Lepisosteus oculatus: one gene and its partners. The protein of the gene in region 4 binds, or shares a complex with, the protein of the main gene of each other region. Links are inferred from orthologs where the notes say so. Each region holds a gene or a part of one and is shown on either strand. Other genes may lie near its edges.

Evidence for each region.
Region 1: prpf6 (region 4) and sart1 share a complex: the UniProt entries of both Homo sapiens proteins name them as parts of the U4/U6-U5 tri-snRNP complex. The link is inferred for Lepisosteus oculatus from reciprocal best matches to the Homo sapiens genes PRPF6 and SART1.
Region 2: prpf6 (region 4) and lsm8 share a complex: the UniProt entries of both Homo sapiens proteins name them as parts of the U4/U6-U5 tri-snRNP complex. The link is inferred for Lepisosteus oculatus from reciprocal best matches to the Homo sapiens genes PRPF6 and LSM8.
Region 3: prpf6 (region 4) and snrnp40 share a complex: the UniProt entries of both Homo sapiens proteins name them as parts of the U4/U6-U5 tri-snRNP complex. The link is inferred for Lepisosteus oculatus from reciprocal best matches to the Homo sapiens genes PRPF6 and SNRNP40.

What each region holds. Positions count from the first base shown.
Region 1 is NC_090713.1:22,042,462-22,050,324, forward strand, and holds the start of sart1 (U4/U6.U5 tri-snRNP-associated protein 1), read right to left. Parts: upstream 3,016-7,863; 5' UTR 2,790-3,015; coding exon 2,519-2,789; intron 1,301-2,518; coding exon 1,246-1,300; intron 1,066-1,245; coding exon 1,010-1,065; intron 46-1,009; coding exon 1-45. Other genes in the region: collagen, type I, alpha 1b-like, read right to left, coding at 4,949-5,075, 5,318-5,567, 7,544-7,671, 7,760-7,863. UniProt on the Homo sapiens protein: Plays a role in mRNA splicing as a component of the U4/U6-U5 tri-snRNP, one of the building blocks of the spliceosome. May also bind to DNA.
Region 2 is NC_090702.1:45,582,559-45,589,830, reverse strand, and holds the start of lsm8 (LSM8 homolog, U6 small nuclear RNA associated), read right to left. Parts: upstream 3,020-7,272; 5' UTR 2,916-3,019; coding exon 2,885-2,915; intron 1,889-2,884; coding exon 1,848-1,888; intron 1,445-1,847; coding exon 1,317-1,444; intron 1-1,316. UniProt on the Homo sapiens protein: Plays a role in pre-mRNA splicing as component of the U4/U6-U5 tri-snRNP complex that is involved in spliceosome assembly, and as component of the precatalytic spliceosome (spliceosome B complex).
Region 3 is NC_090706.1:10,109,697-10,117,597, forward strand, and holds the start of snrnp40 (U5 small nuclear ribonucleoprotein 40 kDa protein), read right to left. Parts: upstream 3,002-7,901; 5' UTR 2,850-3,001; coding exon 2,730-2,849; intron 1,794-2,729; coding exon 1,664-1,793; intron 1,168-1,663; coding exon 1,074-1,167; intron 1-1,073. Other genes in the region: zcchc17 (zinc finger CCHC domain-containing protein 17), read left to right, coding at 7,239-7,280. UniProt on the Homo sapiens protein: Required for pre-mRNA splicing as component of the activated spliceosome. Component of the U5 small nuclear ribonucleoprotein (snRNP) complex and the U4/U6-U5 tri-snRNP complex, building blocks of the spliceosome.
Region 4 is NC_090711.1:6,106,542-6,114,183, reverse strand, and holds the start of prpf6 (pre-mRNA-processing factor 6), read right to left. Parts: upstream 3,001-7,642; 5' UTR 2,967-3,000; coding exon 2,737-2,966; intron 2,229-2,736; coding exon 2,063-2,228; intron 1,910-2,062; coding exon 1,791-1,909; intron 1,680-1,790; coding exon 1,601-1,679; intron 1,201-1,600; coding exon 1,024-1,200; intron 391-1,023; coding exon 235-390; intron 1-234. UniProt on the Homo sapiens protein: Involved in pre-mRNA splicing as component of the U4/U6-U5 tri-snRNP complex, one of the building blocks of the spliceosome.

The DNA of each region.
Region 1 (7,863 bases), on a different chromosome or scaffold from region 4:
GGTTGATCACCTCAGCGACCAGAGGCTCCTCCTTCGTGCCCAGCTCTGAGCCCACCAGGATCGGGGGGGGGAGAGAGAGAGGGCTCTCAGAGAAGCCAGGTGGACTTGGACACTTGTGCGTTTAGGAAAGGGCCAATGGGAGGCGTTTCGGGCGTCGGAGCAGTGCGGGGCGTGAAACTGCCCAGCTATGCCACTGGATGGAGGCTCCGGGATCCTTCAGGAAACACCTGGGATCCGGGGACCCAGGTCAGCTCCTGCGCTATGGTTCTGGATTTCTAAATGGCTGTGGGTTCGAATCCCAGCAGAGATGCTCTTGGCGTCATCTGCTGTTCACCCACCCATTTCCTAACGGGGAGCCAGAGTCTATCCCAGCAAGCAGTGGGCACAGGGCGGGATACACCGCAGAAGGCACACACAGACACACAAGGGGCAATTTTCCCCAGAAGACAATTAACTGCCTCAAACTGCAGGTTGGCAAGACCCAGGAGCGTCAGCTGCCAGCACAGCACAGTGGGACAGTTTCTTCCAAACTAGCCTATAAGACTCCAGGACTGGGACTGGAGACCCCTGATTCAGGGTGACCTGTAAGACACACTGGACTGGGGCTCCCCAGGACTGGGACTGGAGACCCCTGATTCAGGGTGACCTGTAAGACACGCTGGACTGGGGCTCCCCAGGACCAGGGCTGGAGACCCCTGATTCAGGGTGACCTGTAAGACACGCTGGACTGGGGCTCCCCAGGACCAGGGCTGGAGACCCCTGATTCAGGGTGACCTGTAAGACACGCTGGATTGGGGCTCCCCAGGACCAGGGCTGGAGACCCCTGATTCAGGGTGACCTGTAAGACACGCTGGATTGGGGCTCCCCAGGACCAGAGCCAGAGACCCCTGATTCAGGGTGACCTGTAAGACACGCTGGATTGGGGATCCCCAGGACTGGGACTGGAGACCCGTGATTCAGGGTGACCTACAGGACTAAATGTAGCCCCAAGCCCACACACAACACTTACCCTTCTTATTCTCATTCAGCTCCAGAGGCTTCAGACCCAACTTGGCCCTCAGCTTACTAGAGGGGGAAAAGAACAACCAGACTGGAGTGAATGGTTTTCCTGACACAATTACAGACTGTCACGATGGAAGTGTGTACAGAGGTACTCCTGCTGGCAAACCCTGTGATCCGATCCATTTCCCCGGATAACATCACCCCCCCCTCCCCATCACTGTTAAACCGCCCTTGCTCACTTACTTTGTTTCCTCGATGCTGAGAGAGGCATCCCCGGAGGCAGACTTTGGACCAGCCGCTGCACGGAGACAGTTCAGAGCGCGTTAACATCGCCAGAAATGACACAGATGAGCAAGAACAACAACAATAAATAACAGTCCTTACTATTCGATAGCTCTTTACAGAGCTCTGAGTGGAGGCTCCAGGACAGGTCATGGGGATCCCCTCCACCCCCACCTGGGTGATGCACCAGTCCGCTCCCCACACCCCAGCTCTCAGTGGGGAGGAGAGCAGAGTGATGGAGCCAGTAAAGAGAGGGGGATTATTAGGAGGCCATGATGGGTACAGGCCAGGGGGGAATTTGGCCAGGACACTGGGGTAACACCCCTACTCTTCTCGAGAGACACCCTGGGATTTTTAATGACCACAGAGAGTCAGGACCTCGGTTTTACATCTCATCCGGAGGACGGCGACTATTTTACAGTGCAGTGTCCTTATCACTATACTGGGGCATTAGGACCCACACAGACCGCAGGGTGAGCAACCCCTGCTGGCCCCACTAACACCTCTTCCAGCAGCAGCCTCAGCTCTCCCAGGAGTCTCCCCTCCAGGTACTGGCCAGGCTCACCCTGCTGGGCTCCAGTGGGGCTGCCACTGCTAACTGACTGGATTGCTGGCTGGCTGGCACAGCATTACAACACACAGTGTTCGTGATTCCCATTGCACAGCAGTCTGATCCACTCCAGGTTTCACCAGCTGAGTGAGGCTCTTGTGCTGATGAAGCCGTGGCCAGGGAGGGGAGATGAGCCGCTTTCTCGCGTTTTCTGGAGTGTTACAAAACCAGACTCTCACGGAGCACAGCGACGGGTCCGAACCGCTACCAACCGTGACCATTACTGCGGTTTTCACCGCACCTTCGAGGATCGAGCTGCGTCTGCAAGCGCGGTGCTGCAGAGGAACAGGTAAAGGGGTTATTCCCTGCTGGGAGGACAAGAAAAGAGACGCAAGGTATTGGGTTGTAGGGACTTGACGCGCCTGAAAAAGGCTCCACGGCCGAAACCCTGCGTCTCTTTTCTCCGCGTCTCGGAATAAACCTCTTCCTGTCCCCCTGCATATTTACATCCTGTCGCTGTTATTCTGTGAAGCGCTTTGAGAACCCACTTCTAAAGGCGCTACGTACGTTTATTATTATTACACATACACGCACAGCTATTACTTTGAGAAGGAACTTTTTTTTTTAAAAAAAAAGGGAGAGAGCTGCAGCTTTTTTCTCGTCCGAAGTCGTTAACCGACGCACCTTCCTCGTACCCGGCGTCCGTCTTCTCCTTCTTCACCCGCGGCTCGGCGCCGCTCTTGTCGGCCTTGCCCCGGCCCTCCCTCTCGGAGCCCCGGCCCCGCTCCCGCTCCCGGGACCGGGAGCGCTTCCTCTTCTCCCGGTCCTTGGCGCCATCCCGCTCCCGCTCCCGGTCCTTGTCCTTCTCCTTGTGCTTGTGCTTCCTGTGCTCGCGGTGCCGGTCCTCCGTGTCCCGGTCCCGGTCCTTCTCCTTGTGTTTCTTGGAGGAGCGCATCCCGTCAGCGAGCGCAGGAGGGTAAAAATACAAACAGGGAAAAAGCCACAGGCGAGTAAACTATCGAAACAAAGCCCACTCGCCAACGGCGTAGACAATCCCTGGCGCTAGAGAGTTCTCTTTTTTTTAACAACCCCCAAAAATGTCTTTTCCACGATCGAAAACACCGACAGCAACGCAACAACCGTCTCGACGCTCGAACGCAGTAATAACCTTTCACCCCTCCCCTTCCCCCCCACGCGCACCCACACACGAATATATTTCCGGGTCAAGGAGACAAGACGGGCGGCTTAAATGTGCGAGCGCCCCCTGCCGGATTCCGCTACAGCACCGCAAGAGCGCAGCAGTTTACAACAAACTGTTTTTGTTCTTGCAACAACAACAACGCATATAATACAGACAAGAGTACACCAATAACATCGCCAGGGGTACATGCAGTAAGACAACTGCACTTTACAAAAAAGGATTAACCAAGGTGAATCAAGATGAAGCCCGCCCTGCTTTCGTGTTCTCACATAAATAATCAGAAATAATCTGTGGATACGGTTTATTTCACACTGCTCAACCGCGGGTCTCTTCCCAGACCATTTCATTTTCTGTGCATAATAATAATAATAATAATTAATAATAATTGCTTACACTTATATAGCGCTTTTCTGGACCCCTCAACCTCCACCAATGTGCAGCATCCACCTGCATCCATAATAACGTGCAAATACAATGATTCAGTCACTGCCAAAGGATATTTTCATTTTATTTTCAATGAGATTAAAAATGAACGTGACTATCTATTTCTTTCAAGGTAACGTCAATATCAGAAGCCTTTCTTTATATCACTTTGCAGATCAATCCATAATTTTCTAACCACAGGACATAAAATTCTTATAGACAAGAGTTGTAAATAGTATTCGAAATGATACCCGAGGGAAAAGAGTGTTATCTTTTAGCTCAAACATATTACCTGTTAACAGGTAAAACAGAAGTAAAAAGGGTAAAAGGTGCTTAAATTCTAGTTTTTAAAGCGCTGCATATTTTACTACATAGAGGTGTCATGCTATACTTCATAATTTATAAGCGGCACAACTCATATTTAAAATAAATCTGTGTTTATATTTAAAACTGAAATGAGGAATTTAATTCACGTTCCCAACCTTTGTTCCATAAAGAAGACAGTTCATATGACAATTCTATATTCAAATGTTAGAAGTGAAATCTGGATTCAGCTGAGTACCAGTATAAAATTCAGGATCACCGACTAGCTACTACACTATATTTGATGCCGGAAACACAAACACAATAAAGTGCAAATTGAACAACATATTTTTAGAAAAATCATTTCATTAAATAGTGAGTTTATTGTAATTTGTCAGCAACGATCTTATTGGTATTATGAAGCAACAGAAGCCCTTATCTCAATGGCTACCAGTTACTGACCTGAGGTCAGCTGGCACATTGTGGCAGCTGGCTTGTGGTGCTTTTACGTGAAAAAATAAAATGACAGCACAAAATGACTATGTCGTCCTGTGTTTCCTGTGTGTACTGTTTCCCAGAACATGCTATAAATAAGGTCTCTATAAATTGAGGGGCATGTGAATTTTAACGACCTCCATTTCAATCATTTGAATAACCTTTTTTGCAATACTTTCGCAGTACTGCTTTTAAAATCTACTTGGATAACACCGGTGGGGCAGGCGTTGACAAGTCTCCATGAAGACAGATATGTATTGAAGCATCGTGTTTATATGTGCAGGCGATAGCTCTTCTGACGAAATTTCACTGGTGACGCGTGATTTTCTTTTTCCTCGGCGGCCGGAAGAGGTTCGGGTTTGGCGTTTTTCCACCCCCGTGACCCAGCTGTGCTACTAGGGGGGATACTGACATTTCTTTCTCTTCGGGTACGTTATTTTTCTCATTTCTAACGGTTTTTTTTAGAATTGCAGGCTAGAACCTCCACATTTCCGGGGACCAAAATTGTTATGGACGGAAATAAGAAATTCGTTCGGGAGTCAAAAGCGCACGTTGACATTTCAGGCATGTTTTTTTTTTTATTTTTCGTGTGTAAAAACCGGGCGCGGTCCTGAATATCAGTGCGTGATAAATCCAGGTGATAGGCTCGAGATGCTCAGGAGACACCTGCAGGTGTGCTTGTTACCGGCCAATCACAGGCCGAGAGGTACTGAGCCCTCCTCCCGCTCCCTGCCCATTGGCTGGACGAGCCGACGGACGCTCTCTATTGGCTGGCGGTGGGGGGCGGGCCTCGCGTGGAAGCGCTGAGGGTGGGAAGGGCTAGGCGTGCGCGAGAGCAGTGGAGCGAGATCGTCTGTGGCGTCGAGTTAATTGGAAGCGCGAATTGTAATTAAAATTATTGTAAAATATTGACGGAGAGGAAGACGAGGCCGACTCGACGGACGGACGAAAAACAGGTAAAGAAACGCGTTTCTTCAAATAAACAAACCAGCTCCCACGGGCGGGACGATAGTTTTAAAAAAAACGATTTAATTGAGAGACGCCAAGCGGCGTTCGGTGACCAGGCCTCCCGCCGCGCCAGCGGGCCTGGTTTGAGTCTGGACCCGCGGTGAAGCCGAGCTCCCCGGGCGGAGGGCTGGAGGCTCAGCGGCCCGGCCGGGTTCTGCTGCGGCCGGGCCGCCGAGGGAGCGGGCCCCGGCTCGGCTGCTCCTGAGCCCACGGCCCCCGGGCCCGACCTTGACCCCGGCCTCCCCTGGACCCGGCGCGTCCCGTCCGAGAGGTGCAGGCAGGGAGCTGCGTCAGCAGGCGAGGCTGCAAAGGTACAGGAAAGTTTATTTTCTGCTGAAAAGAGAAGGAATCCGTAGGAATCCGAATTTTACGGGTTTTAACTCGGGACTAAAACCCAGTTTAGTTGGGCGTTGCGTTAGTTTGCACCGTTTTCTTTTTTCGACCTCTTTTAGCTCGGTTTCTGTTTGGTATTGTTATTCTTGTGCGCAGTCCGAACTGGTAGAGAGGGGGAGAGTTTATTTGCCGTTTGTCCGTGTTTTGGTTGGGGTTCGTGTGTTTGAGGCGTTGTCTCTGGCCGTGCGCGGTGCAGTAGACGAGGGGGGGCCCTGCCGGGCCTGGTTTAATTGCAGCTCCTCCAGCGCCATGGGCAGGGGGCCAGTTCCCAGTTCCACTGGAGTCGGTCTGATGGGGCTCTTTTTGTGGGGCGGCGTTATTTCAGGACTCAGGGCGGCTTCTATTGATCATTAAACCTTGAAGCAACAGGTTACTCATCACCAATGTTTTCAAGAAATCTCTCTATGAAACGGACTCGGTTCATCCTGCAGAATCCTTCCCAGCCATGGCCCCAACAGCACAGTCCAGTAAAGCAAACTGAGACAAAACAGTGCTCAATTGCCCAGCTCCTGCTTCCTCCTCTCATGGGTGCAACAAAAGGAGCATACACACTAATCTAATACACACTCACTTCAAGCTCAAGAAGGCTTGTATTGATCATTAACCTTTAAAGCAGCAGGTTGCTCTGGCAGAAGGGTCGTTTGGGTAATTCAGGGCAGGAGAATGAGAGGTGTTGAGGGTCAGTCTGCAGTCTGGGAATCTGTAGATTTTATTTTACTTTAATTTTTTGTTTTGTTTAATGTAAATATCATTACTTTTATTTGCTAAGGCAACGCTGATTGTACCCATCGGTCATGCTAATAAAGCACCTTGAATTGAATTGATCACACTGTATTGAAATAAGGTGATAAAGCCGGCAGGAAAGAGCACAATGCCTTTGGAGTCTGGGAGCAGGGCTCAGCCCAGCGCATTGACGTTGTTTGAATGGGGCGATAACGGCCAGCAGGAGAGAGCAGGGTGTCTTGCCGGGTGGGGGTGGGGCTCGGCCCCAGGTGAGCTGCACAGACACTGACTGAAATCCTTGTGCGCAGTCCCAACTAGTTGAGAGTTTATTTGCCGTCTGTGCGTGTTGGTTGGGGTTCGTACGTGCGGTGTCGTTTCGGTCTGCGGGGCCTGGTTTACGTACCGAGACCGACGGATTTCAAAACGGCCTTTTCCCTCGGCCCGTAAGACTGCTAGACGGCCACCAGCAGTTACCCAAAGACCGCTGCTAAACAGCCAGGCCTCTTGAAACTGATGAGGTGCAGCCACGTCTTACCTGGTGCTTTGCCGTCAGAGGATATAAATGACGGGGCTCCTAGCCCTGCCGTATCTCCTTGTGTTATTTGTTGCGTAAATCCTGTAAATTGTCAATTGTTGTATTCTGCTCTGACCTTAATTTTGTGGGGCGGTGTCACTTCAAGGCTCAAGAAGGCTTGTATTGATCATTAACCCTTAAAGCAACAGGTTGCTCTGGCAGAGGGGTCGTTTGGGTAATTCAGGGCAGGCGAGGGTCGAGGTGTCGGGGGTCAGTCTGCAGTCTGGGAGATCACAGTGTATTGAAATGAGGTGATAAGGCTGGCAAGAAAGAGCACAATGCCTTTGCAGTCTGGGAGCGGGGCTCAGCCCGTTTACCTGGCGCTAATTCAGTTAGCGGGGTGGTGTTCCTGGTGCTGCTTGCTCAGCTTGCAGGCGGAGTGTTGAGGCTGGACGGTTTTGTTTTTGCTGCGGTGACGAGGGCCCCAGCAGTGCCCCGGGGAAGGGTCTCTGACCCCGGGGAGCCGGGCCGTGCAGTTTGCAGACTGTCCACCGGGGGCGGCGGGAGCCGCACTCTCACTCCCCTGCAGCAGAGGCTGCTTTTGTGAAACACGGGGCCGTTCTGGGGAGAAGCTGCGAGTGGCGCTGACAAAGCGGTAGCTCGCGCGGGCCGTCGGGGGCCGGGGTCTGGGTTAGCGGGACACCGAGCGTGCTGCGCACCGAGCTGGGAGCTGGCTGCGGCTCTTCCTCTGCCGAGTCCGAGGGAGCTCCTCCCCGGCTCACAGGAGAGGGTGACGTCACGGCAGTCGGGGGAGGGGGGAGGCCTAGCAGAGCAGCTGCCTGCCTGCCTGCCTGCCTGCCCTCGCCTTGTGGGATAGCTGCTGTAGCCGGTGCTGGCTTCGCCGCAAAGGGGCTCCTGGCGGCCGAAGCCGCCCTCTGTCCCGGTGTGGAGCGGGCTGCCCCAGGGCTC
Region 2 (7,272 bases), on a different chromosome or scaffold from region 4:
AAATGTTAAAAGGATACTTAGGAAATTACTACTAACATAAGGTTAGCATACAAATGTATCCAAAATAATATTTAAAAAATGTATAACAATCTGTAAAGTATACAAAATTCTACTTTGCACAATTCAATCTTTGTGGGAAAATGAATGTGGCTGCATTCCAAGCACGTAACCGCATGTGCATGATGTGGGAACAAAATCAGGAGGTCCCCGTTTCTACGAGAGCAGCAAAATCAAAAAGGATCGATGTCAGTAAAAACTGAAGTATATTTTGTGGCAGACCAGCAGGATAGAAAGTAGACACATGGGAAAAATGAGACAGACAGACTAGTTGTTGTGGTCAAATCGTGTTCAGGATAATATTGTTTCAATATTGTTACAATAATAAAATAACCAGTTAGTTCACAAGCTAGTACAGTGATCTAGCTTCAGGACAGTTTTTCCTGCGGGTTAGAAGATACGACAAAGAAGATGTATGTATTCTATATGGCATATTATACAGGCAATTAGACGTTTTGGTGCAATTTAGAAAATGACAGGAGAGTTGCAAAGGCAGAAATAATCTGATTTCATGCTGGAAATGACACGCACTGCACAGGTCACCCAGAAGCCAATTGTATTCTCACCTCAACGGATGACCCCAACAATCAATTTGTTAATGTACATGAGTGGAGCTGGTTTTCAGCTATCACCTTATAAGGCAGATTTGAAACTTGCTGAATAAAGATGAAACAACCGAACATCAGAATCATCCAGCCATTTTCTAACTGCCTCTTCCAATTCAGGGTCGCAGGGGAGCCGGGGCCTATCCCAGCAAGCAGCAGGCGCAAGGCGAGGTACAGAACAGCAGACTGCTGCAGGGCAGGCACACAGACACATCTAGGGCCAACTTTCCCAGAAGACAGTTTATTGGACAGGTTTTTGGACTGCAGGAGGAAACTGGAGCACCCAGTGGAAACGTAGGGAGAACACACAAACTCTGTGCATATAGCACCCAAGGGCTGGAATTGAATCCAGGGCCCCAGCACTGAGAAGCAGCAAAGTTATACACTGTGCCACCATGGTGCTCCTACATCAGACTCATATCAAGCTAAAATTGACTTTATTTTTGCAACAATCCAGAAAAACGTTTGTTATTAGTGTTTATACTCCAGTGCAATGTTTTCTGAAATGTTGCAAAAAGGTCAAAAGTCACAATTATACTGCACCTCATACAACAAATAACAGCCTAAAGTTTAGAAGCTATAACTTAAAAAACAACCTTGAAAACACCATAATAGTAAAATGTTAAATATTTTTTAAAAAGTCTAAATACTTACACATTGTCTCCCCTAACAATATATAATCCAAGCACGACTTGTTCAACTCCCTGCGTTGAACTGAACACTCTCTCATGGCTCTCATCAAGAATCAGATTAATGGTCTGATCAAATCCTTTAAGTGTCCCCTAGTAAAAACAGACAGAATGAACTTAGTAAGTTAATTTATACAATTATAATGTAAGTTACCCAGGATACTTCAAGTGTCTGCCAATGGTAACATTCCCTGACATTTTTCATACCAAGATACATAGTTTAAAAACATCCTCACAACATAGCTCAGATGGGTAGAAGCATCAGCATGCGTAGGCAGAAAAGGAACAAGTAATAGGTTTATTCCATGCTAAAAAGAGAAAAAAACAAAGTTTCAGCTGTGGAGAAACACTTACACCCGAAAAGTTGTTTTCTTTCTTCTCTTTTCAGCATGGAATAAACCTATTACTTGTTCCCTCACAATATACTGTAGTGCTTTCTTTGATGCTATATACAGTAGATACTACTATATTACTAGTCCAACCGCAGTAGACCTACCACAATCATTCTTCCATCTGATGTAATAATTGCCACGGTGCCTGTGTTCCAATAGTTAAGGAATAATGCATTGGTATAAAAGTCACAAAATATATATTATTTTAGATCATTACTCCATCTCATCTCTACATGTTCAAGTCCATCTTAGAATTAATGACATCTACTCCTGCTTTGATATATCTCAGGAACTGACTTTTCCTAGCCTGGACATTCAAAGATTTTCGTTCCATATCACGGAACGTCCTCAAAAAACGCTCCAGGTGTCTGGATGTTAAAAGTATGTTTTATTTATACTGGTTTAATTCTGATTGCAATAAAAATGAAGCGCAGAAACTATGAAGCCCCTTACTTTCTCAGACTTTACACACTCACTCACTGGAATCTTTTTCCGTTTTTTTTCCAAAAACGTCTTGAAACCTCAAATACTCTTTTCTAGCTGCTGCACAGCTTAATTTAAAAAGTACTACTTATACGGTCTGCCCTACAATCATGCACAATTAAAGTTTTAACATAAAAACTTAAAATCGGGTAAACTAGGTCTGCAACGGGTATGACATTTAAAAGCTCCAGATTTTGTTATACTGAATTACAATACCTACCCTACCCTAGTTTACCTAAATCTTAAATATGAAATAAAGTAAAACCTTTTGGACTACTATATGTTCATAACGAAGCTTCGTTTTCATTTATTATATTGACTTATTAACATTTTGCTACTGGGAACACTATCTTCAACTAGGTTAACAAAATATTGAATTTTGCAATTAAATTCTAATTTGAATGCGGCACTACGTTCGTGTTCACATCATTACACGGACATCTTTTTTTCCAAGTATTGACCATTAGACCACATTGAGGCTTCTCTGTCGTTTTTATTTTGTGCCTATGTCCGCTAATCACAACGGTGTTGAAAATGCATTCGCTAGGCCCACCCTGACAATTCATAAGCCTTTACAAGCGACAATTCACACACATAAATCTATCACATCTGTCCACTCATTACTTCAGAACTCTAAAAACAAACGGGTTAAGGATACGGTTGATATAACTCTCCAACGCAGTAGACATGATTTTACCAAAAACTCCAGCTTTCGAACAACTGAGCTTGATTTCAAACAGATACTCTCCTCTTAGCTAACAAATCACACACAGCGGAAATAGGAATGATGGGAAACACAGGCCCAACTAGATGTTCACTGATACATCGATGTTGTTGCACGTCACTAAGATTTTTTTCCTACTTTATGAAAAAACAATCCGAGGATCAAAAACATCTACACACAAGAACAATATAATTGTTCTTCTATAACATGGAACATTAATTTCAGGGATTTTAGTTTAACATGTCCGAATAAGATAACAGAATTTAAAATATCATTAATATCTGTGATATCGTTAATATCCAATTAGCTTTCTTATTCTTAACATCTTTTTTGTATTTTAGTGTAATCTTCAATTTCTGTTTTAAACATCTTTATGTTTGGAATTGAAACAATGTATTAATATATAGTTTTTCACAAATTAATAAATTAAGCAGAAATATTTATTTTGCATCCAGGTTTGTGCGTGTGAAATTCAGCTACAATCCCGTTACGACGGGAAAACTCGTAAAGGTTGCTTTTTGCAAGTTGCAAAACACGAAATTTATCAAATTCAGTTTTGAATTTAGATGTCTGATACAAAAACATCTATGCACATTATAACCTTATTGAAGAGACGTACACTTTCTGCAAATTATCATTATTGTTAAAAGATAGAGACCCTGTTTGATAATACATTGTAATAATGTCATGCTTAGATATTCCTAATATAAAGATTACGATAAAGATCTTTTTCCAATATATTAACTCCACCTAAAAAAGATGTTAATTCATTTGTTATGTAATTGTAAACATTTTTATCCCCTGTAAGAAAAGCTATGACTCCTCTAGAGACCGAATCAAAAACTGCATGAAAGTCTCTGAAATGGACATTTAAAGGTTCTCTATGAAGTAATTAACATCATCTCTCAGTAAATATCTCACTAATATAATACCATTTCCATGCCATATTTAGAAAAATACAGTATTTTTAAATATATTTTATATAATTCCCATTAGGATGGCATGGTGGTGCAGTGGTTAACATGGATGCTTCACAGGGCTGGGGTCCTGTCTCCAGTTCCAGGGGAGCTATCTGTATGGAGCTGTGTGTTCTCCACATGTTCACGTGGGTTTCCTCAGAGTGCTCACCTTTCCTCTAAGAGTTCAAAGACATACTGGCAGGTTAATTAGCTTCTGGGACAGCTAGGCATGGCATGAGTGTGTTTCTGTCTGTGTATGTCCTGCAATGGACTAAAGTCCCTTCCAGGTTGTATCCTGCTTTGTGCCCATTTGCTTGCCGATAGACTCCAGCTCCCTCGCAACCCAGTACTGGAAAAAGCAGTTAAAAAATGGATGGATATAATTCCCATTAACAAAGATTAGAATGTTTTCTTTGGGTTTTTTTCTATGATACCTATAAAACATTTATTTACCTCTTCACAAATCTTATTTTCTTAATATGTTACTTTTTGTTTTACTGAGATAACACAAATAATGTTCGAATTACAGTCCTCAATTGTCAAAATTTAAAATTAAACATTATACAGTCACAGTTAGTATTGGCAGAAAAATACCCACCTTAAATCTCACAATACCCATACTGCAAACTTGTGACAAAAGGCCAGATGCATGGCAAGAAGTGGCAGAAAATTCACGTTTTTGGCCTAAATGCAAAGCATTTTATCTGGTACATGCCAAGTATAGCATATCACCCATTCAGCACCATCACAACTGACAAGCACAGTAGTGTCAACATCATGTTATGGGAAAGTGTCTTGTCAGCAAGGACTTGAAGAATTGTGAAGAAAGATGGAAGGCACAAAGACACAGTGAATCCTAGAGAAAACCCTACTTGAGCCACCCAGGAATCTGAAGATGGATGCAAAATTTACATTTCATCAGGAGCAGAGCAAGGACCTGAAACACAAGGCCACACTGAAGCTGTCTGTCAAGAAGACAGTGAATGTCCTTGAAAGGCCCAGTCCAGAATTAAGAAGGACTGACAATGGAATTTTGGAACTGTAAGCCAAAGAAACTGAATGTTTTAGAAATTTTTGAGGTTTTGTTTTGAAGAGTGTCAGAGTGAGACAGGAACTTGATTATGTGGAGTCTCAGGGAGAGACTGAAATACTGTAAACTGAATGTTTTGAAGCCGGTAATAAAGGTGGCTTCTCAAAGCGCTTTACAGAAGGAGAACAACAATAAATAAAAAGAATACACAAGAGGAGACCGTGGATGGTGGTACTAGGAAAAGCAGAGGAGTGAAGAATGGAACCAGTTAATTAACGGCTCTTCTAAAGAAGAAGGTCTGTCTGTATTTGAAGGAGTTTAGAGAAGGTGAATCTCTGAGCTTGGGGTCATAACAGGAGAAAGGCCCTGTCACCCATACAATGTAGACGGGCTTGGGGTACAGTTAGGAGACCAGAATCAGAAGAGCAAAGGTTGCGAGGTGGGGAGTAAGGACATAATAGTTCAAACAGGTACTGAGGTGCCAAGCCATGCAGAGCCTTATAGGTGAGCATGAGGATTTTAAAGCCTACACGGAATTTGACAGGAAGCCAGTGCAAGGACTCCAGGATAGGAGTAATGTGATCACCTGCATTAGACCTGGTCAGGATTCTGTCTGCTGAATTATGGACATACTGCAGTTTGTTCAAAGTAGATTTAGATACCCCAGCGAGTAGAACATTACAGTAGTCAATTCGAGATAACACAAATGTTAGTTGATCATAGCAGCTTAGTTGCCCAATGGGATAGATAGGAATTCAGACAAAAGAACTCAGTCAAAAGATCAAAAAGGAGCTAGGAGAGTTTTGTGTGGTGTTTGGTTGTATTTTTTATTTCCCTTTCTGTAAATAAATAAAAGCATTATTTTTTAACCTTACGGCTGTGTATATGTGTGTCTGTTGTCCTGGACCCACCTATTTTACAGGTCCATTACGACATGCCCAGCAGGTTGTCACATACTGAGAACTTGCTTGTGTTTTTTTCTAATTGTCAATCATAGAGCATTGCACCCTTCAGGTCTAGAATCTTAAAAAGAATGCCAATTAAGTTAGAATGCAAATATAGACCAAAATTAGCATATTAGAATGTCTTTGCTCCAGACCGCAGACAAAAGCCTTTTGAGTTAGCAAATGGGCATTACAATAATCAGGACAAGGGGTTCTGGATGCTCGAACCCATAACTGTGCATCCTTCGTATCCAGGGAAACTGTTGTGTGAACATGTTTAAGAAAATTGAGGCTGCTGATACACTGGCGAATCTGCATAGAAGCTCTGTGATTCAGTTGTGTGAAGGCTCCTGAAAAAGCACCTGAAGGAGGCTCCACAGCCGAAACATAGGGTTTCTTTTTTTTTACTTTCAGCAAGGAATTACCCTTTAGCTGTTCCTTTGAGATTAACTGAAGTGGCAGAACCTCACAGCATACTGCAGAAGGAGTCTTTCCAGTGTAATCCCTGCCAAAGGAGGATTAATAAAATGTTAATAACAGGGCTGTGAATAAATGTGTACCTTTTGTTTTCTAAACATTATAACCAATTTACCTTATTATTTACAAACCTATTAAGGTAACTGTATAACATTTTTATATTTGAAGAAGGCTTCACAGCCGAAACGTTGTGTTTCCTTTCTTCTCTTTTCAGCATGGAACAAACCTATTACTTGTACCTTAACATTTTTATGATTTTTAAGCAAGACACATTGTCCAATCCACAAGTCTCTATGTTGTAGATTGTTTCTATTTTATGAGACCTAAGAATAAAGCTAGAGGGCCTTGTATACAAACCATGACAAAAATCATGTAATATTTTTATAAGGTTCTCCAAGGCCAATTATTATGTCTGTTATGATATTTTCCCCTTTATTCAAATGTGTTTTTTTTAAGTGGCGCTTAACGTTTCATTCCTAAGCTGTTTCAGTTTTTGCTAAAGTGCTGAATGCTTTTTTGATGTTCCTGTAGAAGAGAAACTGGTACAAAAATACAATATTTCATATTTATAGAATAGACATACTGTAGTTATACCACTCACAGTCCAAAAAATGTGGCAAGAATCAACCTAAGATGGTTTAATTTCTTCCAGTTTTGCAAGGAAACAATCACCAAAAAGGTGCAAAGAAATAGCGCTCTTCAGAAGGCTGAATGGTTCATTACAATGGACACTATGAGTACACAAAAGGTCTGAAACAGAACTTAATAAACAAGATTTATTTAGCAGTAGTTGTAGAAGCAACATTATTATTACCTTGAAGAATTCCCACAAAAATCAAAAGATTCTGAAAGACCACATTCAGCCTGGAGTTTAATAGTGAATCAGAGGACCAGGTGGGGTTACCATAGATA
Region 3 (7,901 bases), on a different chromosome or scaffold from region 4:
CTTGTCTGAACCACATTCCCCAGAATGCTGTGGAGTGAGGGTTATGTGGGGAATGAACTGCCATCTTCAATCACTTGACCAATCAGAGCAAGACAATTGGTTGGTGACATTTAAAACTAGGAATCTGATGCTTCCGGGTTGGCCACCTGCCTCTGCTGTGTAGAAGGAGAGCAGGGAATCCTACACAACCCACATCAGAAGGAGAAGGAAGTGACTGAAGGACCGGCCACTGGAGTGACAAAAGTTTTTAAAGACAAGAATAATTTTTGGAACAGAGATTATTTTTGGGAAAGACTTTGGGAGAGAGAGATTTGCTTTGTAGCTTGTAAGCACCTTAGCTGCCAGATTTACAGGAGAAAACAGACGTTTAGCTAAAGCTCGAAGAAGGGCTGGGCTTTTAAACTCTGTGTTTCTATATGGGTTTGTATCAAACCTATACTGCATGCCGTGTATGGTGAGCTCTGGCTGTTGTGTCTAGAGCACTGTTATGGCTGTGTTTGTGCAGCTGTCATTCTGGGAATCATTATGGCATATCACCCCCTGCTATTCCACTCTCCCAGCTATACAGGATTATGAAGCTCGGGCACATTTCAGCTCTATTTTGCACTATAATACTGTCTTTTTAAAGCATTTCTGTGAGGTGTCCAGTCTAGAAATGTTAACAGAACCAAAGGAATGCTGAAAGTACAATAATGATACAGGTAACAGATTAATGTGAATAATCTGATTCCGTGTACTATTGCCCCTTAAAATCTTCTAAATAAAGTTTAAATCCAGAATCACACACAGCAGTCAGCTGATCAACTACTGTTTGAAGTACACAGCTTTGGTGTCCAATGTGTGAGATGTTGCCAGGCTAGATTGCTCAGATTCAAAGTAATAATAAGCTCTCAACTAAGCATACAGTAAGCAACACAAAAGGACCTAGAACGTACTGTTGAAAAGTAGAGGAATTAAACTACATTGCTGCATAACGTTTATGAATAAAAAACCCATTAATATGAACACAATCTTCTTATTTAACTAAGGAGAACCTTTGTAGAAATCAAACAATTTAGGTATATATACATTACCTGCCATCTGTGTTATAATGCAACTCCATGACGGCTCCACTGTGGCCTTTCAGAGTGGCGTAATTGTCACAATCCCCATAAACACTCCATAGCACTGAAAGCAAAAATAGCAGAAAAATAGATTAAGCCCGAGAATGTTCTGTACACACTGTTTTTAAATGATCTTGGGTACTGAACCCCTAAGGACATGCAACTGCTTCATCAAAAAAAAATAAGGAGATTTTCAAATTCCTTGAACAAATCGTATTCAATCGAGTCTTTCCTAGGAAACACAAGAGTGAAGTCGTACTCTCTCATACTTTGTAAAGAATTGTTTTAGGGGTCTGGTGAACAGAGGCTGGCCACACAGTCTAAGTGTCCTTTTGCTTCTACTCCAATCGCAACACACCAAACATGCATGCGATTTGCTCACACCTGAAGAGCCGAAACGCCACGGCCGAAACGTTGTTTTCTTTCTTCTTTTTTCCCTGGCACGGAATAAACCTATTACTTGTTCCTTTGCAGCCTACGCATGCTGACGCAGCTACCCACCTGAACTAATACATGTGTTTTTATTACCTCAGGAAAAGAAACTGATCACAAGTACTCACAGATCAGCCTGTCGTAGCCTGCGGATGCCAGCGTGGCCCCATTGGGGTGAAACTTGCAGCAGTAGACCTCTCCCTCATGGCCACTGAGAAGCATGATAGGAGCCTGCAAACTGGAACTTCGTGGGGGGCCCTGTGATTACACAGACAAGAGGGTACAGAGTCAGATTAGCCATAATATTCAGGGCAGAAGTTCATGCAAAGAGCACAATAAAATCTAATCAGCTCCAGTTGAGCAGGACTGTCTTTAAGACGAGAGGCTTTTGCATCCACAATCCTGTGTTCAGCAAACGATTTCATATACATCTGAACACCTTCCCCAATTCCAAAATGTATTCTAAGAATGTACTTTTACAGATATGTTTTAGAATTCTCATTAACAAAAAATATCTTTAAACTTCAAACAGGGCAAAACAAACTTTCCCAGCTAGAATTAAGACTAGGCTTCCTGTGTATGGACCGGAGTCCTCGATAAACTACATCTTTGTCACAACCTTCGCATCTTCTTCTTTGAAGACTCGGCGTTGCAATCTTTGCCCGGTTTTAAAAATGATATAAAGCAAAGAAGAAATTAACGTTTCACAAACAGGATGTAATGATCAGATCACAAACTAATACATTTAAATTGTCTATTGTACTTTACACATACTATATATGCAGTGTAGTTTCAGACTAAGCATTAGGATTATAAAGCAATTTGTTTGCTGTGATAAATCTGATTTGTTAAACAGAAATATGATTTGTTAGTATGAAACTTAGGTGAATTTTAGGTCAAAACCTGCACGAACACTACTGCAAAATCAAGCACTGAGGCCGTTGAAATGTTCAACGAACATGAACTGATGTTACCAAATATTAACCACGATTTCAAATACAAATAACAGGTGTTATTAAAAAATAAAGAAGAGGCGGAACTCAATTTAAAACAGTACAGTGTGTCAAAACATCCATATCTCGAATGTAAATAACAAGTTGGTGTCGTTTAGGCTATAATTCGCAGAACACAAAGAGCTCGGTAAAATAAAATGAACTATACGCATTATTCAGCCAACGTATTTTTAGTTCCTACCATCTGCATGAGCTGCTGGGACTGAGCCGCGGCCACCAGCTCATTTCTTGGTCTCTTGTTCGTCGGAACCAGAGCCATCTCCGTTGGCCCTACTCCCTTCCTCTTCTTCTGTTCTATCATTTCTTTTTACTCAATTTCAAATCAAAACGTTACTTTCGAATGAATATGTCGATACAACCGTTGCCTTTTCAACTAAATAGCTAAACTCCGAACCACATCCAAGAGCACCCAACAACACAAACGCGGCGAGCATCCGCAGAAAGAACTTCCGGTGACTGACGATTCTGATTGGATAACATTTAGAGGTTGTTATTTTACGTCTTATGTAATTGGTCGCCTTATTTTTCACCCGCCCCGCCGCCTAACATTAGAGTCCGATAGACGGACTCTCACCCCGGAACCGAAAGTAGAGTAGCTGTGTATTGGTTGAAATGCCTGTCTGTTATACTGAAAAGCTGAATGGACAGTGTACGTAGCTGCACGGACAGCTGATCACATTTGTGTTCTCTCGAATTGACTACTATAATGATCTGCTCGCTGGGGTATCTAAATCTACTTTGAACAAACTGCAGTATGTCCAAAATTCAGCAGCCAGAATCCTGACCAGGTCTAGTGCAAATGATCACATTACTCCTATTCTGGAGTCCTTGCACTGGCTTCCTGTCAAATTCCGTGTGAACTTTAAAATCCTCATGCTCACCTACAAGGCTCTGCATGGCTTGGCACCTCAGTACCTGTCTGAACTATTATCGCCCTACTCCCCACCTCACAACCTTCCCTCGTCTAATTCTGGTCTCCTTACTGTCCCCCAAGCCCGTCTACATGACAGGGCCTTCTCCTGTTATGTCCCCAAGTTCTGGAACTCTCTGCCCAAGGATGTCAGAGAGTCACCTTCTCTAAGCTCCTTCAAATCCAGACTCAAAACCTTCTTCTTTAGAAAAGCCTTTACTGAACTGGTTCCATTCTTCACCCCTCTGCTTTTCTTAGTACCACCATCCATGGTCTCCTCTGTATATTGAAATTGTGTTTTATCTTGTGTATTCTTTTTATTTACTGTTGTTGTCATTCTGTAAAGCACTTTGAGAAGTCACCTTTAAATGCGCTATATAAAATAAAGTTTATTATTATTATTATTATTATTATTATTATTATTATTATTATTATTATTACTACGTCAGCTTATAGGATGTTGGAATTTGTGCTGCAAGGTTCTTTGTAGCATAGGCATGGAAATGTTTGTTGGTGGTTTATGATGTAGGTATTTAGCTGGGGTGCTCATTACAGTGTGTCAACGGCCTAATCAAACAGTCAAATTATCTCGGTTAACTGCCTGGGAGTATTTGACAAGTAATTGACCCCTGTGCATGTTCACTTTACTGGCCATATACAATTTCTTTTATTAGGATTTCTCTTTTTGCATACCCCAGCTTGCTCTCCAGGAGATATAGACAGGAAGGGAAGCTTGGGGTCAGAGCGCCCCTGGAGCAGTTAGGGCTTAAGGGCCTTGTTCAGGATCCGAACGGAATAGGATTTTTCTGCCAGCTGCGGGATACAGTATAAACTGGCAACCTTCCACCAGCTACAGGCGCTAATCCTTAGCTACAGAGCCACCGCACCACGAAGAGGTCAACCCCTGGAGTAAACTGCCACCTCCGTGGTAGATGATACTATTTGTATTTTACATTGCAATTAAGTTTTAGAAAAATAATCTGAATTAAGAAAAGTGGCTGGAAAAAAAATGTTCTGTTTTTAAGTACTGCAATAGAAACCAGACAGTAAAAAGGAGCGGTTATCAGTGCCAATTATTTAGAAACTACACAGATTTCCAAGTGTTTTGGGGTACAAATGCAAGCATCATGACATAAAACACTTGACAAAAACAAAGTATATTGTGGCATAAACCACCAATTTGTCTGTAATTTCTGTAATATATACTATTTAAAATAGAATCTTCAAACAACCTAGTGCTTTGTGTGGAAGTGTCCGTTTCAACCTTGGTCTTCAGTCTCTGTCAGTGTAATTAATTGCTTACACTTATACACTTATATTGCGCTTTTCTGGACACTCCACTCAAAGCGCTTTACAGGTAATGGGGACTCCCCTCCACCACCACCTGTACCATAGTGCACCAGAACGCTCACCACACACCAGCTATCAGTGGGGAAGAGAGCAGAGTAATGTAGCCAATTCATAGAGGGGGGTTATTAGGAGGCCATGATTGGTAAAGGCCAATGGGAAATTTGGCCAGGACACCGGGGTTACACCCCTACTCTTTTCGAGAAACACCCTGGGATTTTTAATGACCACAGAGAGTCAGGACCTCGGTTTTACATCTCATCCGAAGGACGGCGCTTGTTTATAGTATAGTGTCCCCCTCACTATACCGGGGCATTAAGACCCACATGGACTGCAGGGTGAGCACCCCCTGCTGGGCCCACTAACACCTCTTCCAGCAGCAACCTTAGTTTTTCCCAGGAGGTCTCCCATCCAGGTACTGACCAGGCTCACACCCACTTAGTTTCAGTGGGTTGCCAGTTGTGAGTTGCAGGGTGATATGGCTGCTGGCTAGATTTTATAACTACTTCTGCACTCGCGATGCATGTTACACCGCTTGCTGTTTAAATTGACCCCCTGGGGATGAATGAAGTATTTTGAATTCAATAATCGTATCTGTTTAAGATGCTGGGACTGAGCCGCGGACACCATCTAATTTCTTGATCTCTTCTGCTCCATCATTTTTTTACTCAAGTCCGAATCAAAACCCTATTATCAAATAAACTTGTAAACTCAACCGACGTGTTCTCACCCTATCACCTGTATTCGAAGCTACCACCCGCGAACACAATAGGGCGAGAGTCTGCAAAAAGAACATCAGGCTACTGACGATTCTGATTGGATAATATTTACAGTATTTTTATTTTACGTCTATGTAATTGGGCCTTTCCTTGTTCGCCCGCACTGCCATAACCCGCCCCCTTAAATCCGATAGGCGGACTCTCACCCCGGAACAGAAAGCGAAGGAGCCGTGTATTGGTTGTAGAGCCTGCCTGTTATACGCAGGCGCTGACTGCACTCTGCCGCTCTTTGTAGCTCCTGAGGCATGCGAATGTGGGTTAGTGACTTAGTTTTGTTTTCTTCAGGAAGTATGTTCTGTCTTATATCAAAAGATTTAATACAGTAAATTGCAATGTTGTTTTCGCTAAGTGCAGACGTTCTGGTATGTAATGGTGTTTGTTTGACGCAATGTGCCTTTGGTTTAATAGTACTGTGCACTATTGCTGCATGATCAGTTAGTTTTGGTTATGCTACTCTTTTCACTCTCGTCCCTACGTTTCGGAAGCAGGTTTATATTACAACAGTTTGTAATAAGACATGCTGGCTAGGTTAACTGGGATGTCTAAAATGCTCCTGTGTGATTGTTGAGGTAGTGGACAAAAATGTAAATACTCTGGGTAAGCTTGGGATTGCGAGTGTTAAAAATACTGGACCACAGTGACTTTGGAAAAGGGGTGGATATTTGGGCGCGTTTGACAGCTCGCCGGGCTGATGTTTCGAGAGCATCGGTGTCTAAAGTGGGAAAAGTGCGTATTCCGGGGTTGTAATGTCCAACTGCAGATCGATTGACTGCACATCTCAGCCCATTTCAACTGCCATGTTGCAGTGCACTCTGGCGAGCCCAGGCGTTAGACTGCCGAGCAGTGAAGAAATGGGATATGATAGATAATAATAATAATAATTGCTTACACTTATATAGCGCTTTTCTGGTCTCCCCTCCACCACCACCAATGTGCAGCATCCACCTGGATGATGCGATGGCAGCCATAGTGCGCCAGAACGCTCACCACACACCAGCTATCAGTGGGGAGGAGAGCAGAGAGTAATGAGGCCAATTCATAGATGGGTATTATTTGGTTCTGTGTTGGGTCCTGGTGGTTTTGTCATTTTCCAAGAATGGTTTGAGTGTGCTCATTTCCTTAGAAGGCAAGATCAATGGTAATCGCTGCTTAATGGTACTGAGTGCTTATCTTCAGCCTGTGTTGCAGCTCTTCTTTCCACCCACAGAGCATGAGTGGTGGGCCATAGGTCTGAGCAAGACACTGATGTTATCCACATGTTCTGGTCTTTTCACTCACCGGACCCCAAGTGAGCAGTTATGAGATAATCTAGCACTATGCCTGAGTTATCATTTTCCACCTCTGCCAATCCGGAGTGAGTTGGCTGTCTTTCTCCTTGAAGAATGGCGCCACATCCCTCCTGCAGAATTCAAAATGCTGGTAGACTCCATGTCCTAGCACATACAGGCTGTACAGGCTGCAGGTGGTGGCCCAACACCCTGTCAAGTGACAATTCAGAGTTTCTGTTTTTTTTTGTCCAGTATCTTTATGTATAGGTATAGTTTGGAATAATAGGATTATTTTCACTTCACCTAGGAATTTTCCTGAGGAGATGAAGTCGAGGCACACACCGCAAATTAGTTTAGCAGAATAGATCTCAGACCAGAGGACAGCCATGGATGAACTGCCCGAGCTGTACAGTATCCTCAGAGGAGAGGTAAGGTAGCATCAGTGTTTAAACTCTTGATTTCAGATTGACAAGAGTCCCGTCAATCTATTAAACATGAGGGTGTCATCGACTGCAGGTTACAGGTTTAAATCCTAGGCTGTGCCAAGCAGCTGTTACTAAGAGTGCTAGTGAAGTTGGTCAGCTGGGTAAAGTACAACTGCCAGTACAAACACCATTGACTGGAGAGACCTGTGACCTTATGGTGCTGTCACTGAGGACCTTACCCCTGTCCAACCTAGTCACAACCTTGGCTGTGCCAAACATATTGATATGACATATTCTCACATTCTCACATTAATGCTGTGTGCTTGTGTAGTGAAATTGACTTGATTAATACTGATCTGCAGTATCTTGAAATGTTGCAATGGAAGTAAACTTTGGCATAGAAAAAACCTTAATATACAAATACTATAAATTGTATATTTGTTAGTTTTAGACTCTTGTTCCTAATCACATACTTTCCATATTTAATGCACACAAGTTGAGTTAGTTATAAATTTATAAGTAGTGTTAACGTATGCAGAGTGTAAATAAATAAAATGCAGGTGGCTTTCCTTATCACCAGGGGGCCCTGTTTAGCTGGGCCCTGTATCTGGAAGCATTCATCAT
Region 4 (7,642 bases):
CACTGCTATGGTTGGTAACACAAAATTACTACATGTGAAACACAGACACACAGACATTTTTCTAAGGATATGTAATGAAATTCACCAAATGCAAAAGCAATCAGGTGCATGGCTTTATTAGAAAAACTGGAATCAGTGAGTGTGACTAATTTCCCAAAGAGATGTCATTAAATGTCATAAGAAATGACATAAACCTAAGAAATCAGGAACAAAGAAACAGGAATACTTTCCCACCTGACTAAGTCTCATGTCCATCAGGGTGTTCCTGGCCTGCCCGATCTTCCTCATGTCCAGTTCACCTGTTCCTGGGGTCATCAGGCCAGGGGTCATTGCTCCTGGATAAGGGGTGTTCAGCCCTCCAGAGAAAGGTGTATTTAGCCCTCCAAATTGCTGACAAAAAAATCCAAATAAAAACAAACAGTTTTCTGACTGTTCTTGAAAAACCCTGTCTTCCACTCTTATTTTTGTACTCTCAGCTGGAGGCTTACAGCTGAAGAATAATGAACAGATGCTGAAAAAGAGGGCTAGGAGAACATTAGCTTAAAGTGAGAACATATCTCATGGGGGTTTCTATCACTGAGAGGAAAAATAAAAATGTTCTGCATTCACGCTTCTGTGGGCTATAAAGCTATACATCATTATATATTGTCGGGTGTTTTCTTAAACTGACATCTACTGGTGCATTTTAAAATTACAATGCATCTCTTCTAAATAAACACGGCAGATGCTGGGTGGCTTATCGAAAAAAAAAACATTCAACTACCCTGGTTATTCCTTCTGGAATTACCAAGAATTTTTGACATTACACTTAGCAGTAAATTGATGAATAAATTCACTTTAGATAGCAACCATTTACATAAGAGGCAAAAGGGAAGCTTGTATTATAGTTTATTTATATAATGTTTGTTTCTGAGAATGCACCTTGATGTAAATTTCTGAAAACGTGAATCGATGCACTGAACTGCGTATCAAACAAAACAAAGTCATGACAAACTTGGAAAACAGGAAAACAAGCACACTAACCCCTTGCCTGGGGTCCACTGACGTATGGTTTTCTCCCGTCTGGAGGTGCTTGGCAAAGAAGCTGTCTGGTACAGGCGTAAGTTTCTCATAGCGTGGATTCCTCTGGCGTTTATTTCGGGCATCGCCCACTTCTGGAATACTCAGCCATTCTTCTTCAGTGACCTCGGCCAGCTTCCTCTGGAGATGTAGAAATCTTGACTCGTTACACTCATTACAGCACGCCTTCGTGAACACATGCTACTTATAGCATTTAAGTGATCTATTTTTACCACATATATTTATATGACAATGATCTGCATGCTTTTTGGATGTTTTTGAATTACCTAAGGGTAATAATCTTGTTGAAGGAACTTCCCTGTTAGTGAAAGATGTATGTAATACACATTTGCAACAAAAGTAAAGTGGCTGAATTTTGCGGCACATTTATTTCTGGAGGCCTCAGTTAGATTCCAGCTTTGGTCCAAAGACAGACTTACTACACGACAAACAGTAGAGAGAAACATATACCTGTTGTCATTGTATTTCATGTGTAATGAGAATGAAAACCATTTTCTGAAACGCTTATCATTGTACAAACCTTAAGATCAGAAAACTGCTGCTGAATTTTTGGACGCTCCATACGGTATTTCTCAATCTCCTCCTTCTCTCTCTGTTCTCTGTTGAAAACAGAGATCAGACAAGCGATGATAAAGCTATTCACTACATCACACAAGGAGCAATGTTGTTTTTTTTATGAAATAATGACGTTTTCATCTATGATGACCCACCTTCTCTCTTTCCTCCTTTCATCCATTCTCTTATCAAGAGCAGCGTAAATTGCATCTGCTTCCTCATCGTCCTTTTCATAGGGCCCACTTGAGAACAGACTACCAGCATAACCATTGAACTGCAGAGATATGAGAAAGGTTGATTAACATGCTTTAAAAACAGCGATTGTACAAAATCATAAAACCGTCAGTTCAAATTAAAGACGCCTCTAGAAAAAATGGCTACAGCCTTGGATGTGCCTGATGATTTCCTCATCATAAAGGCTTATTACCTCATCATAGTTGGTGTCATTGAGATCCTCATCATCATCATCTGCCTGGTTCTTCTTCATCTGATCCCCCACGGTCCTCTTCCCCGGAGGAGCATGGCGATCGTCCACTGGGTCATTGGCATCCCGGGCTGGGCCGATATCAGACCGGGTGGTGAAACCAGTGGCACTGAAAACAACACAACAGCCGTCCGGTCGATAACATAGCACAGAGAATAACTTCGCCATTGTAATCCAAAACACTTGTAGTCTTCCTTTCCAAAAACACAACATCCAAAATGTATACAATTTAATTAAGCTAGGCTACACAAATATAGCCGCATAGACTATTAATATATATAATATGAAATCTTACATTTAACACAAGGTCGCAAAGACGTCTAGAGTCGCAACATCGTCAGTATTTTATAGTTAGAATATCGTCAGTGAAAACATCAAAGCAACCAAAGGTTTATGGTTCTATCGTTAGCTCAGGAACAAACTTTAATTGCAGTACTTTCTGAAAAAAGCCTACTGCAAGTAGCGAAATGGATTTAAATCTTTTCCACAACTTATAACAACTTGACTTGTGTGGCCTTATTTCTAGACAGCTTATCAAACCCCATAATGCTAAAATACATAAAAGACTAAACTGCATGTTTTTTTTTAAGATGCAATGAACGGGGATCACATCTTACCCTCTACCGAGACCAGGCACATATCCCAGGGGTGCTGGCATGCCCAGAAAGGGTTTCTTCTTCTTGTTAAGTGTCCCGGTGAGGCTCGAAGTTGCCCCAGTCCCAGACAGACTGGAGGCTACATTTCCACCTCCACTTCCACTTCCACTGCTGCTACCAGCAGCTCCTGCTGATGAACTAGCCATCTTTGATGCGTTTCTAGACGCCGGAGTTGTGGAAACGCTAGCCATTTCTGCGCCACCATTAACCAAAACAACTTCCGGGGTAAAGGTCTAACCTTAACTGCGATTGCGCTGATTTACCACAACAGCTCCCCTACTGGTCGTTTTAAGCCCCTTCTAAATATGGGGGTTTAAACTTTGCCTACATGTTACTCAGTAAAATCTCACAGATTAATAAACACAGTCAAATTGAAGATTTCAGTTGTTGTAAAAAACGTTACTCTTGGTGCAATGTGAAATATAAAGATCAGAACTGCAGATCAACAGAACCAATGTCAATTTTGTCATATAAAATATAAGTAACAGCAGTTTAACTGGTTTTAAAATGGAAATAGCAATAATTACACTTTATTTTTATCTTCCAATATATTTTATATTTCTTACAGTGAAATGGTATGCCAACAGTTGCGTGTGGTGTTTAATTATTACTATTTGGTTCATCCTGCTTTTTGTACTTAGATTTTGCTTGGTTTTCTGTAGATTAATACTGTATACTGTTACCTGTTACTAATTACAGATTTGGGATTTTGTTTGACCATCTAAACCCCTCTTACTTTACATATTTATACTTTTATTTATTTGTTATAAGTTAATTACATTTTCACAATGATCTTTTTTTTACTATTACTCGTCAGGTGTCTTTAGCCAAACGACTTCTATAGACAGAATACTCAGTTAACAAAATAAAAGGTATATATATAAATCGCATTCATGATATTTATATAATTCTTACAACAAACAATAGACTGAAGATATGGATCTAACTGATGTTTAGCACTCGATTTTAATATCTTATTATTAAAGAGAGTTTTATTTATGACAATCATGTATAGAAATTTTATTTGATGCTAAAACTGGCGTTTCTTACGGGGAACGATCTTTTTGAAAGGAGATACTCGCAACGAAAATAGGTTGAACCTCTTAAGACCTGACCTGCCTGTGAAGTGAGGCTGCCTGATAAAATGGCTACCACGCGTCATCCAGGTGGTCAGATGAAGCACGTTCTCCCATATATGTAAAGCACTGTATAAATGCTATACAGATACTATACAGCTGTTTATCACACAAACACACACAATGTATTAACATTAGAGGGCAGCAGAACAATATAAAATGATCCTTCGTATAGCAGGCCATAATGTTGCATGTTTAAACGAACTAGAATGCTGATTTAAACGAGAGACGGAGAGATAATGAAAATAATTTCCATGTCTGTCAAGCCTATAAACAAAAGGGAGGAAGAGGCCCTTGTTTGATTAAATTATTTGACATGTATTTTGCGGGACTTAATAGATCAGTCTGCAATCTTCGTTCATGGCCAACTCATCAACCAGAATGCCAATCCAAATCTCCGCTGTAATTCCATTTGCTACATGTTGAGTGTTTTGCTGCCCTGCACTGTAATGGAACTAGACACCTTGCTCCACTTTCTAACGATTGCGAGGAGCCTATCTTAATGTCAACGAATATGGCTCAGTTGACAAGGTGTTCAGTTTTATAGACTTTTAGGAGACATTCAGGTAACCTTTGTTCTAGGGGAGATAATTTAATTTCGTGAGTCTATGCCATTACCAATCCAGTGTACAGGATAGACAATGATGTGGATTTCAGAAACAAGATTAGCGTGTGATTGAATTCCATTGTACTTATCGTTCATCCCTCGACAATTTAGTTTCTTGAATTTTCACTAATTTCAGAAAATGAGCGTCTCTCGCATTTAAGAAGGGGCATGCGTTATCTGACAAACTAGGGTGGCTTCTTCTGAAAGTCTCATTTTCTTTGGAATACTCAAATGTCAGTAACCTTTTTTTTGTTCAGTGAGCTTCTATTATTGTGTTCTGAATTCATACCGAAGCTTAACGTTTAAGGATGAATACATTGAAGAATACATTTAAGGAATAATATTTTCCCCCCATAATATATAGTCTGTAATGTTCTTATACTCGTTATATATCCTGGGTAAAGAAAAACACATGTATTTTCTACTTTTAAACATCATTCACATAAATTCTTATTCATGTAGGAGAGATTTATTATTAAAACTCAGATTTTTGCTTAGCAAATTGTTTTTTTACATTGGTTTTACTATAAGCTATAATCCAATGACTATAAAGACAGATGTATTTATAAAGACAGACATATACAGTAAAGCTTTATTCTTTTATAATACATCTATTACAATTTCTGAAAATGTAAATCTTTATAGAAACATTGATATGTTGAATTAATTTGACGTTTCATTTTCAGGTAATAGAAAAAGATTTCTTTGAAGCCATCTGACTTGACTGTGATTCAATATATGGTTTTGACCATAATTTATATGTACATTCATTCCAGAAAGGTATGTAATACTATACTTAAAAATATCTGCTCTGGGACTGGTAATGTACCTGGAACATTTATTATTAATATTTATGATTTATGATTAATGCACACGCTGAAGTTACTTTGTTTTCAGCTGACCTTTGCATTTTTTAAAGGCACTACAGTATGTTCAAAACCCAGTACCCAGAGTTCTGACTAGGTTTCACACTGCCTTCATGTTAAATGTTGAATAGACTTCAAGATATAGTTCTTGCTTTATAGGCCATGCCAGGGAACTTTCCCTTTATTATTTCTACCGTCCTGATGAATTACACCCCTAACTATGTTCTTATGGTGCTCCAAGCAGATTTATTCTTTGCACCCTTAACAAGACTTTGAATCGCAAAATGCTTTGTCCTACTTTGCATCAAGACTATGAAATACTCAGAGCTCATATTAAAACTCACTTGTCTCACACAGTACTGCCTTTTCAAAATATGGTGCCTGTTACACGTCAATATAATACATTTGATTCTTTTGCCTACATTTTACAGTTTGTTGTCCTGTTTTTTGTGTTGCACTTTAAATTTTCTTTTATGAAACAAGATGCTCATATCTAATTAATTTCTTTAGGGGTTTAAGCATTCATTTTTGTGGATTGATCACATCATCGGTAACATCTCAGTCCGACACGGAGTCCAGGAGAGGGAAAGTCTTTCTGTAGACATACTGCAGTGATCCCCAAGAAAAGAAAACCTTGAAGTAACTTTAAAATGTACCATAGTGATGATGCCAGTGATGTTTCGAGTAGTGTAACCATTGCTGCAGCCTCAGAATAACTTACTTCACAATTACTGTTTAATAATACATGTAAACAGAAGCACAAATAAGAAATGGAAGCAATACAAAATACAAATTCCCTATGCCATTTCTGTCTAAGTATGCTATTAAACCTATACTGTATATAGTATAAATGCACAGTATATCATCATCTGCAGTCTTTATTGATTCAGTTCTGGATGGAGATACCACAAAATTCTAAATATATATATATATTACATCTATATGTTGTGTGTGTGTATATAATAGAATCAGAGAAGCCATCAAAATGTGTTGATGCATTTTGATTGGCTGTATCCTTAGTTTTACAATATGATTTTTATAGCCCCTGAATGGGTTATTGCAATATGTCAAAATGAGTTTCTCCTGCTTCGTGTGCACTGCCCTGTCTGAAGCAGCTTGTTATGAAAATATCTCGTCTGCAGCCCAGGAAGGCTTCCTTTAAATTAAATGAATGCAGCACTAAGGGGTGGGAAGCTGGAAGGAGAGAAATGGAAAACTAATCATCTCTTTAGGCCCAGGGGCTCAGACCCTAGAAAAGAACCAAAGTTCTTGCCTGAGGATCTAATAATCCTCTTTGATGTGTTCCAGTGTCATTTTTAGCTTCTGCAATTTGTCTTCTCTAAAACCTTCCCTGAGTATTGCACCTGGAAAAGAGCCTTTGTGGTTCAGTACATTACATTACATAAAGCCCCTAACCTAAGAGAATGCAGTGGCTGGAATAATTGTTAACAACTAGAGATTAGCACAGAGGATTCAAGATAAAAAGATATTCAGTTCTGGTTGACTGCTGTTTTTAACAAACTGCTTTTCACTGTATCTGATTTAATTTAGTTACAGCATTTAAAGAAGGAGGTGAAAAAAGTCATCTGTCTTTATGGAACAAGTAATAGGTTTATTCCATGCTGAAATGGAAAAATGCATTGTCTTATCTTTGATCTAAATAACTTTGAAAGGCTTATCTTTACCAAGAGTATGCATTTTTCACCCTACCTGGTTAGGAAAAATCACTGGGCAGTGATTTTATAAAGAACATGTTAAGTTAAATATGACAAGGGCCGGGAATCTCACTAAGTACAGTATATAATCTAACAATCCTAATATTCACTTTCAAAAAATGCTAGATGTGTAACATAACAGAGGGGCTCAATAGACTAAAGTTTGTTTCAATGTTTATGTCATTGCAGTTTGTGCAGGTTAAGTTAAAATGAAGGTGATTTAACTTGAACCTTCATGATCAATGATTCAATTTAATTCATGCTGACTGAAAGGTTTGGTGGAGTTTAATTATGATTTATTGATCTACCAAGAGGAATGAGTGCACACTACAGTATGGGTATACTTAAAGTTTAAAACTATTGAAAGTAGAGTTCTTAATTGCTCTTTTCTGCCATGTAGAATGCACTTTATTATTTAGCATTATACCTGCATCAAGCTGAAAGATACAAATATAGCCGCTATTCTGACACAAGGATAAAATAGATGGAAATAAATATCTTTGTATCTTTAAAATGTGTTAAATTTTGATAAAGCACCCTCAA